Linked DNA regions of Oryzias latipes. The main gene of each other region encodes a partner of the protein of the gene in region 2 in a complex. Links are inferred from orthologs where the notes say so. Each region holds a gene or a part of one and is shown on either strand. Other genes may lie near its edges. The genes, in order: ksr2 and map2k1.

Region 1 (4,036 bases), on a different chromosome or scaffold from region 2:
ACAAATGTAAATAAAAATCAATGCACTTCTATTGATGTGTTGAGCTGCGGTGAAGCCGGGAAAAAAAGCAAGAAAAGCTGCATTTGAAGAAACTTTTTTTTTTTTTTTCTCCCGTCAGTGTGACGTCTGAGGCAGAGTATTATTGGATGACTGGGCCACCTGTTGCTCTGACATTTGCAGGTATTTTCAACCGTCAGCTCGCTTGTTCTTTTATACTTTTCATCTGTAAATCTAGTTAAACAGCTGCCACAAAAGAAACAATGTTTAAAAACACTTCTTTGCTTTCTGGAGGTTAAAAAAAAGACTGTGGAAGCTTTCATAGTTAAAAAAAAAAAAACACAAAATAGAAAGGACAAGGATTTTACTTGTCTTTTGTTCAGTCTAAGTAGATAACAGAGGAAATGAGGCAAACGTCTAAACAACTTTTTTCAACATAATTAGCTAATTAACTGAAGGAGAGGATTTCCTGTGATGTTCCCAATGAGCAAAGTTGCTTTTCCGTTTCGACAAAACGTGAAAGCCATTCCCTGAAATAATTACGCGTGTTAACTCGGGCAGGGAATTTCTTCAGTTCACTTACAGTAAGCTACGTTTGCATTGTCTGCTGCCAGACTGTCAAGGCGAAAGCAACACTGCTGCTGCTGCTGTGAGGTGTGGGTGGTACATCTACTCAGCAACAGTGCCAGCCTGTTCTAATCATAACGCCTGCATGTTTCTCTGTCAGACGCTCACAGCAGAGCAGATCTGAACCAACGCTGAAGACCTTTTCCGGCTCACAGCCAGCAAAGAGCATTGGTTCAATCTCGTTTTTATTAGTTTTTCCTCTGTTCAGTCTTTGTGCATGGATAGGATTGCAGTTCTGACAGAAGGTGGACTGTAGTCGTTTTTTATCACTGCTTCTACCATCTCTAATTAACTGTGCGAAACCTTTAATCACAACTGCTCTGACGGGTGGATACGGGTGGTCTGCGGATAAAAAAAATGGGCAAACCTGTACTTGGTCCGCACAAAATATGAAGGTCGTAGACACCTTGGTGAGCCCATAGAGCAAAGATGTTCGTTCAGCTTTCTTCTACGGGCTTCCTGCAGCAGGTCGTGGTGAACAAGTAAACAACACTCAGAGGTAAGTAATAGTGAAGTAGGTGAGTTGCAGGCGTGTCAGACTGATTTTTTTTCTTTTAAGCCTCTAAATCCTGGAGGCTGTACAAGGAGCCCATAGGTGCTGCCTGCATACAGCCTGAGTGTTAGAAATGAGGAAATGAGACAATCAGAGTGTAATTTGTGTGAAGATGGGCATGTATGCTTCACCTGCACACCTTGTGCGTGCAGCATTCACGTGCAGTCAGTAAGGGGCCAGTACTCACACCTTACTACTGACTAGAGTGTGCAGGGCACTGTACGACCACATCACCTGTACATCATAAGTGTGTGTAACTTCCTCTTTACCACACATATAACAATGGTGTGTTCCATTTTCATGACGTCCCATAAGGGTAGCGCACTTCCATGCTGCCCTTAAGATGCGGCCGCTCCTCTCTAAGACCCTCCATAGACCCGGACAACCCAAAAAGCCGCAGCATCAACCCTCGTAAAGGTGCATGTAGCTAAGGCTTAAAATTCACATCGTAAAACAGCACATAGATACAAGTTTGTTTGTTTTTTTGAAAGTCTTTAGAAAATCAGTACTTTTGTGCAAGGAAAGGCAAAGTCCTATTGGTTGTCAAACAACTGGGTGTGTGAAATTTGCTCTCCACATTTGACTGATCTCTGCGGGGAGGGGGGAGCAGCAGACAGCCACACTCAGGAACCATTTGGTGGTTTGACCTCCGCAATTCCACCCCTTATGGTTGAGTGTCATACCAAACAGCACATGTAAGTAAAGGAAAACCAAAAATGTGATCCAAAAACAAAAGCTGACCAGAAAACCACAGGCTTGAGTGAATAATTGAGATAAGGACAATCAAGAAGAAACTGATAATTAGTAACCTAATCCGAATGTCAACAAGAGCCGGAACAGAAACTAAAAACAGGCTTCCTGACAGGATTTTAAGAAATTTAGGATTAAACATTATTCACAACTAAACTAATTAAAAAGACTAAACTAAAGAAAATACAAATTCAGTTTTCCTGTAACTTTTAATGGACTCTCATTCAACCTGTGATAACAGAAAATGTGCAACTGAATAAAAGAAAAAGAAATATTGTTGTCTTTCAGAAACCATCAAAATGAATGAAGGTTAGCATCCATCTAACGTCAACATAAGTTTATGATTCAATACTTTTCTTAAAAATCTCATACTGATTGAATTTAATGGTTGTTTTTTTTCATTGTCAATATGGGACCTAATCTGCAATTTTAAGGACAAAATATTGATTTCAGTCATTTTTATCTTCAAGGAGTCAGGCACATTCTATTTGACTAATATTTGATTCGATTTGATTACTTGTTTGATTCGTTTGATTACATGTTTGACTAAAAAAGTGAATAAAATCTAATCTAACTTGAAATGAGGTTTTGCAGATCACGATGTCATACTGTACTTGACCTCCTGAATCTTACCTGGTGATTATGGCCAGGTGTGGCGGGCTCATGCACGCCCCCATGAAGAGCACCACGTTCTCATGGCGCGTGTTGCGGTAGGCCATGACCTCGCGCTTGAATGCTTTAAGTTGGTCCTCGTTGTCCCGCTCGATGTCGATCAGGCGGATGGCGACCTCGCCGTGCCACCGTCCGTGGTAAACTCTTCCAAAGCGGCCTTTGCCGATCATCTCTCCGATCTCCAGCTGCTCGAAGGGGATGTCCCACTCCTGCAGGAAGATGCTGGTCTGGCTGGCCTTGCGCGGGAAGTTACGAGCCGACAGCAGAGACAGGTTCATCTCCTCGAATTCGTCGCCGGAGTCCTCAACGTTACCGTCCTCATTCTATGGTAAGGCAAAACACAACTGTTTTTTTTGTGCCAGAATGAAAAATTACATTAAAATCTTGGAAATTAAGTTATTTGAACCTCCAGCAGACATTTGGTCAATCTCTTTCATTGCAAGTCCTACAACCAAAAAAGCAAGAATCTTTCATTTTTAGGCTACATCGGGCTCAAGTATTTACTCCAACTACTTTGAGCAAAGAGTAAAAAAAAACAAATAAAAGAGCGTAAAAAGGGTGAATGCCAACAGATTTGATAAATTGCAATAGCATGTAAGTACGTCCAACATTCCAGTGCATGGTATACTTTAAATTTTGTTAAAGTGGCTGCAGTAATGAGCATCAAAGGTCCCCCAGAGTTACCTGGAGGCTCCTCAGAGGTCACTGATAATGCTGAACTAAAGGACGACAAGCAACTGAAGCGCAGATGTTGGCGGCTGCATTTGTTTCCATACTGATGTACATATGTGGACCAAACAGATGTGTGAAAGATCACAGTCCATGCTTAAAAAACTTACGTCCGATGTTGGTTCAACTTCGATCTGAAGTAAATGGTTGCCCTCATTGCTGAGAAAGAAAAAAAAAAAAGCAGGAAAATTGTTAAGTTCTTCTTACTTAAAGGGAGAGAGAAAAATCCTGCACTCTAAGGGAGAGCAGAAATAGTTTGTGAACTTTTTTGACTGCTTAGGAGCTACTAAAAAACAAAGCTGCTGTGTTTAAAATTGTCTTCAAGAAACATTTAACAGAATACTAGCATGACAAAAGATTTGTGCGCATGGAAGTGGAAAGACCCTTCAGGAGAAGAAAGTGCGTGCACTCTGCCTCTGATCGCTGATTAACTGCATCCTGTGTGGGACAAGCTGTTAATAACTCCAACGGAACCCAGAAGCTGTGAGCTTAGACAGAAAGCGTCGCCTTCAGTGATGCTCTTTGTGCACCAGAGCACAAATTCAACCAATATGCTGCAAAGAGAAATGTGAACTCAGCTGCTGGGCTGGATGCAGAAGCTGCCTGATGCCCAGAACCTTTTCAGGGATCTTCCTGCAGGACGCCAAAGACCAGGCTCCTCACTTATGTCATTGCTATGTTGGCTGCATTTTAATCACCACCAAAAAT
Region 2 (3,992 bases):
CTTGAGAAGAGGTTTTGCAATGTAACATGTTCTTGGGTTTCAAAAAATCTATTAAATTAATAGAGCTTTCCTTTAACAGAGCAAAATCCATTCATCCCCTTTTGCTTATTTCTTTTTTTTCCCTTCAGTCTTCAAACCTTTTCTGTTACTTTTTACCATAAGAATGTCTAGTTTGATTAATGACATTTTAATATTCACCTACTTTAAATGAAATGTTTTGTGGAAATAGTTTTTCATAACCAAACACAGCTGGGTTTGAAATGGGAATTGGAATTAAAATAATTGAAATAAATCAAATTACATTGTATTAAAAACGAATTCCGATCATTTCGGTACTATAGCAGTTTTGCGCAGCCCTGAAGTATGATTTCTACATATCATAGGAGCATTGACTGATCTCCTGCTGTAGAGGTCTCCTTCAGCTTCATCACAGCTATGAATTTTACGTCCATGTCGAACCACAACTCACTGATAACTACTCAAAGCTGGGCATTGAGCTCTCCTCTAATGCTCCGTCATGCAGCAAAGACAGGGTTTAAGTGCTTTTATTTTTGTCAGTAGGGCTGCATATCCATGGAAACGAGCTACATGTAGATGTGGGCGGCGTGGGTGTTTTGTCAACAAGAGCTGGAGGTGGAGGAGATGAGAAAAGAACTAGCATGAAACACACTCAACACAATATATGTGGGTGCAACAACCACAGGGGCAGCACCACTTGAGGTGCAGGGGGTGTGCGCACGTAGCCGGCCTTTCTTGTATCCATTCGCGTCATATTCAAGGACATCTAATGGGAGATAAAGGTACGAAAGAAACCCGTTCTGCAGCTCTGCACCGAGCCTTGCAGACAAATGTCAGCAAAAACAGTGGATTTGAAAACAGTTTATGACAAAAATGATGAATATTAAGAAACTTAAATGAAGGAACTCAGATCTGTTAAAAAAAAAAAGAGTAGGCTTCTATGCAGCAAGAGGAGAGTTTCAGATTAGTTAATGAAATATTGTTTTGTCTTGTTATATCTTTGATTCCCTTTCTACCCACAGGGTTAAGGAGATACATTTGTACGCACAGGTGTGTTCAAAACAACATAGGGAGGCAGGAGAATGAGGCTTACACAGTAAAACGTACTTTTGTCAAATTATGCTGACAATAGAAAACTACCCAATGCTTAGAAATGCTAGACATATACATATAACTAACCTTTATGGTTACTTGACTCATTCTTTTCATCACACAAAATGTTTTTTTGCAAAATAGTGGATTTCCTGTTTTGACATACGTCAGTCAATGTTGTTAAAAGTTCATGTCGGAACCTAAAAAATACATTTTGGATCACATGTCAAGCAGCTGGATGGCTCAGTTAGCTGAGTGTAGGACTGGCGCATGGGAAACCAGGCTTCATCCAGTGTTGGTCCTTGAGCAAGACCCAAGGGGGGCCCCCCCCAAGTCTGGGTCTTCCCTGTGCCGGTCCCCAGTCAGCAAAAATACAGGACATCCGACGTAAAAATCACTGCCAAAAACACATGTCCCTTCAGTAAATCGGTAAAAGCTGATTCACTGAGGCGACCTCTGAAGGGATATGCCGAAAGGTGAACAACAACATTTTGGATCACATGTTACTAAGGGCCAGGATTGGAGGAGCTAATGTGAAGAAGAGCTTTCTACAGTTAATATTGATCTGGAGAATACATACCAAACTAGATGACTGCCATCAAGCACTCACATTATAGTCTGTTATGGAGCCATACAGTGTTGAGTTTCACATGGAGCTAGGAAAGTAAAATCTGTGTAATTTAATGGACCTTTTTTTTTCTATATGAATATAGAAAGTGCTTTTTAGACTGTTTCAGATAACTGTCAGAATGTACCCCAAAAAACCTGCTTAAAAAACAACAAGAACAAAGCAACACCTGTTTGCAGGTTAGCATCCTCACATTACATTAAACAGCAGTATTACCACATACTCTCAGCAGTTTAAAAAAAAATATCCCCAATCCTTGATTTAGATTTCCTTCATGTGCTCATTTGCAAAGGCTACAGATCACTTTCAGAGGCTGCATCTAATAAAGAAACCAGAAAGCATCCTGCCTGCACAAACAGGCTTCATAGTGAAGACCATGTTATGTAATGGGATCCAGCTTATTGGTGGAATGACAAAGAATTGTTTCCACAGATTTACACTAAACAAGGTGTCACAACAGGTTTATTTCTCCATTATCATGTTGGTTTTTTTCTCTTTACCTCCAACCCACACAAGCATATCACTAAACAGTGCCTCCCCTCAGAAATCAGCTGAAGAGAGCTGGAGAGCCACTTTATTTCACAGTGATGATTAGATCAGTCACAGTGAGGAGAGCTGTATTAACACTAATCTGTGACAGAGATTTGATTTCTCTGATTCTCTAAGCAGATCCCCTAAATTTAAAAAAAAAACACTGCAATTTTTGTTTATTTGAAACATTTTTACAAATATTTGACGCTATTGTATCTTTGGATTCACTGCTCGTCTTCTTAGTACTGTTCTAATAGAGGTTCTTGTGTTAGTAGTACTTTTTGAACCTATCTTTCTAATCAGTTTTAACTGTGAAATAAATAAATAATCCCACAGTCGGTGCAGACAGTGTCTCAGATTATTGTCACACCAAAAGCTCTAAATTCCTGTGGTAAACATAATTATGTAACATTTCGTATGTGACAAACAGCTGATCGCCAACACTCACTCGGAGGCTCCGGTTCCGTTCAGTGTGTTTCCGTCGGGAATCGGGTTCAGCTGGATCGGTTCTGGCTTCCTTCTCTTCTGCATGTTTTTTCTCAGGAATCGGCCTTTTTGTGGAATGAAAGCCGTGAGGACGGAGGGACAAGGCGGCCAGACGAACCAGTGGAACGAAAACGGAGCAGTGCTGTCACGACCTGCAGACCCAGCGCAGCTGATGCTTCGCTTAACGGGTGGACGTGAGCTGAACGTCACAAAAATGTTTACACCTTGGTCTTCCGGGCACCATGTCAGGCCCTGATTGCAGTGCGCCCTCTGCCGGTGACTGCTGGCATCGCAGTCCTGTGCAGCAGAGGGAAGTTCGTGTATTGTACAGGGGCGGACTTGTTGCACATGTGTGTGTGGGGGGCATTTACAAACATGGTCTAAAATAATTTCCTCAATAGTTTAAATCTGTCATAAAAAGCCCAAATTACTGAAATGGCATAAGACTGCTCGTGTGAAAGTGTTTTGTCCTCCCCTGTCCCTGTGTGGCAATGGACCATTCCGTCAACATCAAGTTAGATAGCAGAGAAAGACTGAACAGCTTTTTTTTAAGAGGCAAGATGAAGCGATTGTTAAAATGATCATTATCATTTTACTGTTAATGCAAGTAAAAAAACACACCTCACACAAAATGTTAACAATTTAAGTTAAACAACAACAAAACTTTTGCAAGAAGAACGACAATACAAGTACAACAGAATAAAATAGTATTTCTTTGTCATTTTTTTCATTGACACCACTCTGTAGGCAGGGAGTTGTTTTGTGCCATCACTCCAGGATTTTTGTGTCTTTTGCCATCTTTTGTCAGCTAATTAAAAAAACAATTATAAGACCCTCATTTGTTCCTTCTTGAAAGTAAGTGGGTAACAACGTAGCTCATTCAATAAATTCAGTGTTGTTGTTTTTAAAAAAAATGTATGTAAAACACATTTCTTTAATATTTTAATGTTTTTCAGTTATTATTCTTTTATCAAAACATTTGGATTCGTGATGCTGTCTAGAAGTGGACCATTGAAAAAGTTATTCGACTGATGATTCACTCAAGGTAAGGATTTGGAGTTTCAACTTCCTGCACATTTTTTAAATATCCGTTAGATAAATCCTGGCAAGCAGTTGGACTCTACTCTAAATAAAACACCTGCAAGTCATTTTCAAGAGAGAACAAACCTTTGCTCTTGTAGATGCCTTCTTTAAGGTACAGCTGCCAGAGGAAATAACAGAAATGTTAGTGAAAATC

What was found.
Region 1: the proteins of map2k1 (region 2) and ksr2 are in contact, whole or in part, in a crystal structure (PDB 7UMB), measured with the Homo sapiens proteins. The link is inferred for Oryzias latipes from reciprocal best matches to the Homo sapiens genes MAP2K1 and KSR2. Residues at the interface, in NP_002746.1 of Homo sapiens: Val81, Glu102, Met219, Ala220, Asn221, Ser222, Phe223, Val224, Gly225, Thr226, Arg227, Ser228, Met230, Arg234, Leu235, Gln236, Gly237, Met308, Ala309, Ile310, Phe311, Glu312, Leu314, Asp315, Val318, Asn319; in NP_775869.4 of Homo sapiens: Lys674, Arg818, Asp820, Lys821, Leu822, Arg823, Ile824, Gln825, Asn826, Ile837, Arg838, Gln839, Leu840, Ser841, Pro842, Gln877, Pro878, Ala879, Glu880, Ala881, Ile883, Trp884, Gln885, Gly887, Thr888, Met890.

The regions. Positions count from the first base shown.
Region 1 is NC_019867.2:3,337,561-3,341,596, forward strand, and holds part of ksr2 (kinase suppressor of Ras 2), read right to left. Parts: intron 3,488-4,036; coding exon 3,439-3,487; intron 2,923-3,438; coding exon 2,561-2,922; intron 1-2,560. UniProt on the Homo sapiens protein: Location-regulated scaffold connecting MEK to RAF. Has very low protein kinase activity and can phosphorylate MAP2K1 at several Ser and Thr residues with very low efficiency (in vitro).
Region 2 is NC_019864.2:16,494,862-16,498,853, forward strand, and holds the start of map2k1 (dual specificity mitogen-activated protein kinase kinase 1), read right to left. Parts: upstream 2,801-3,992; coding exon 2,718-2,800; intron 1-2,717. UniProt on the Homo sapiens protein: Dual specificity protein kinase which acts as an essential component of the MAP kinase signal transduction pathway.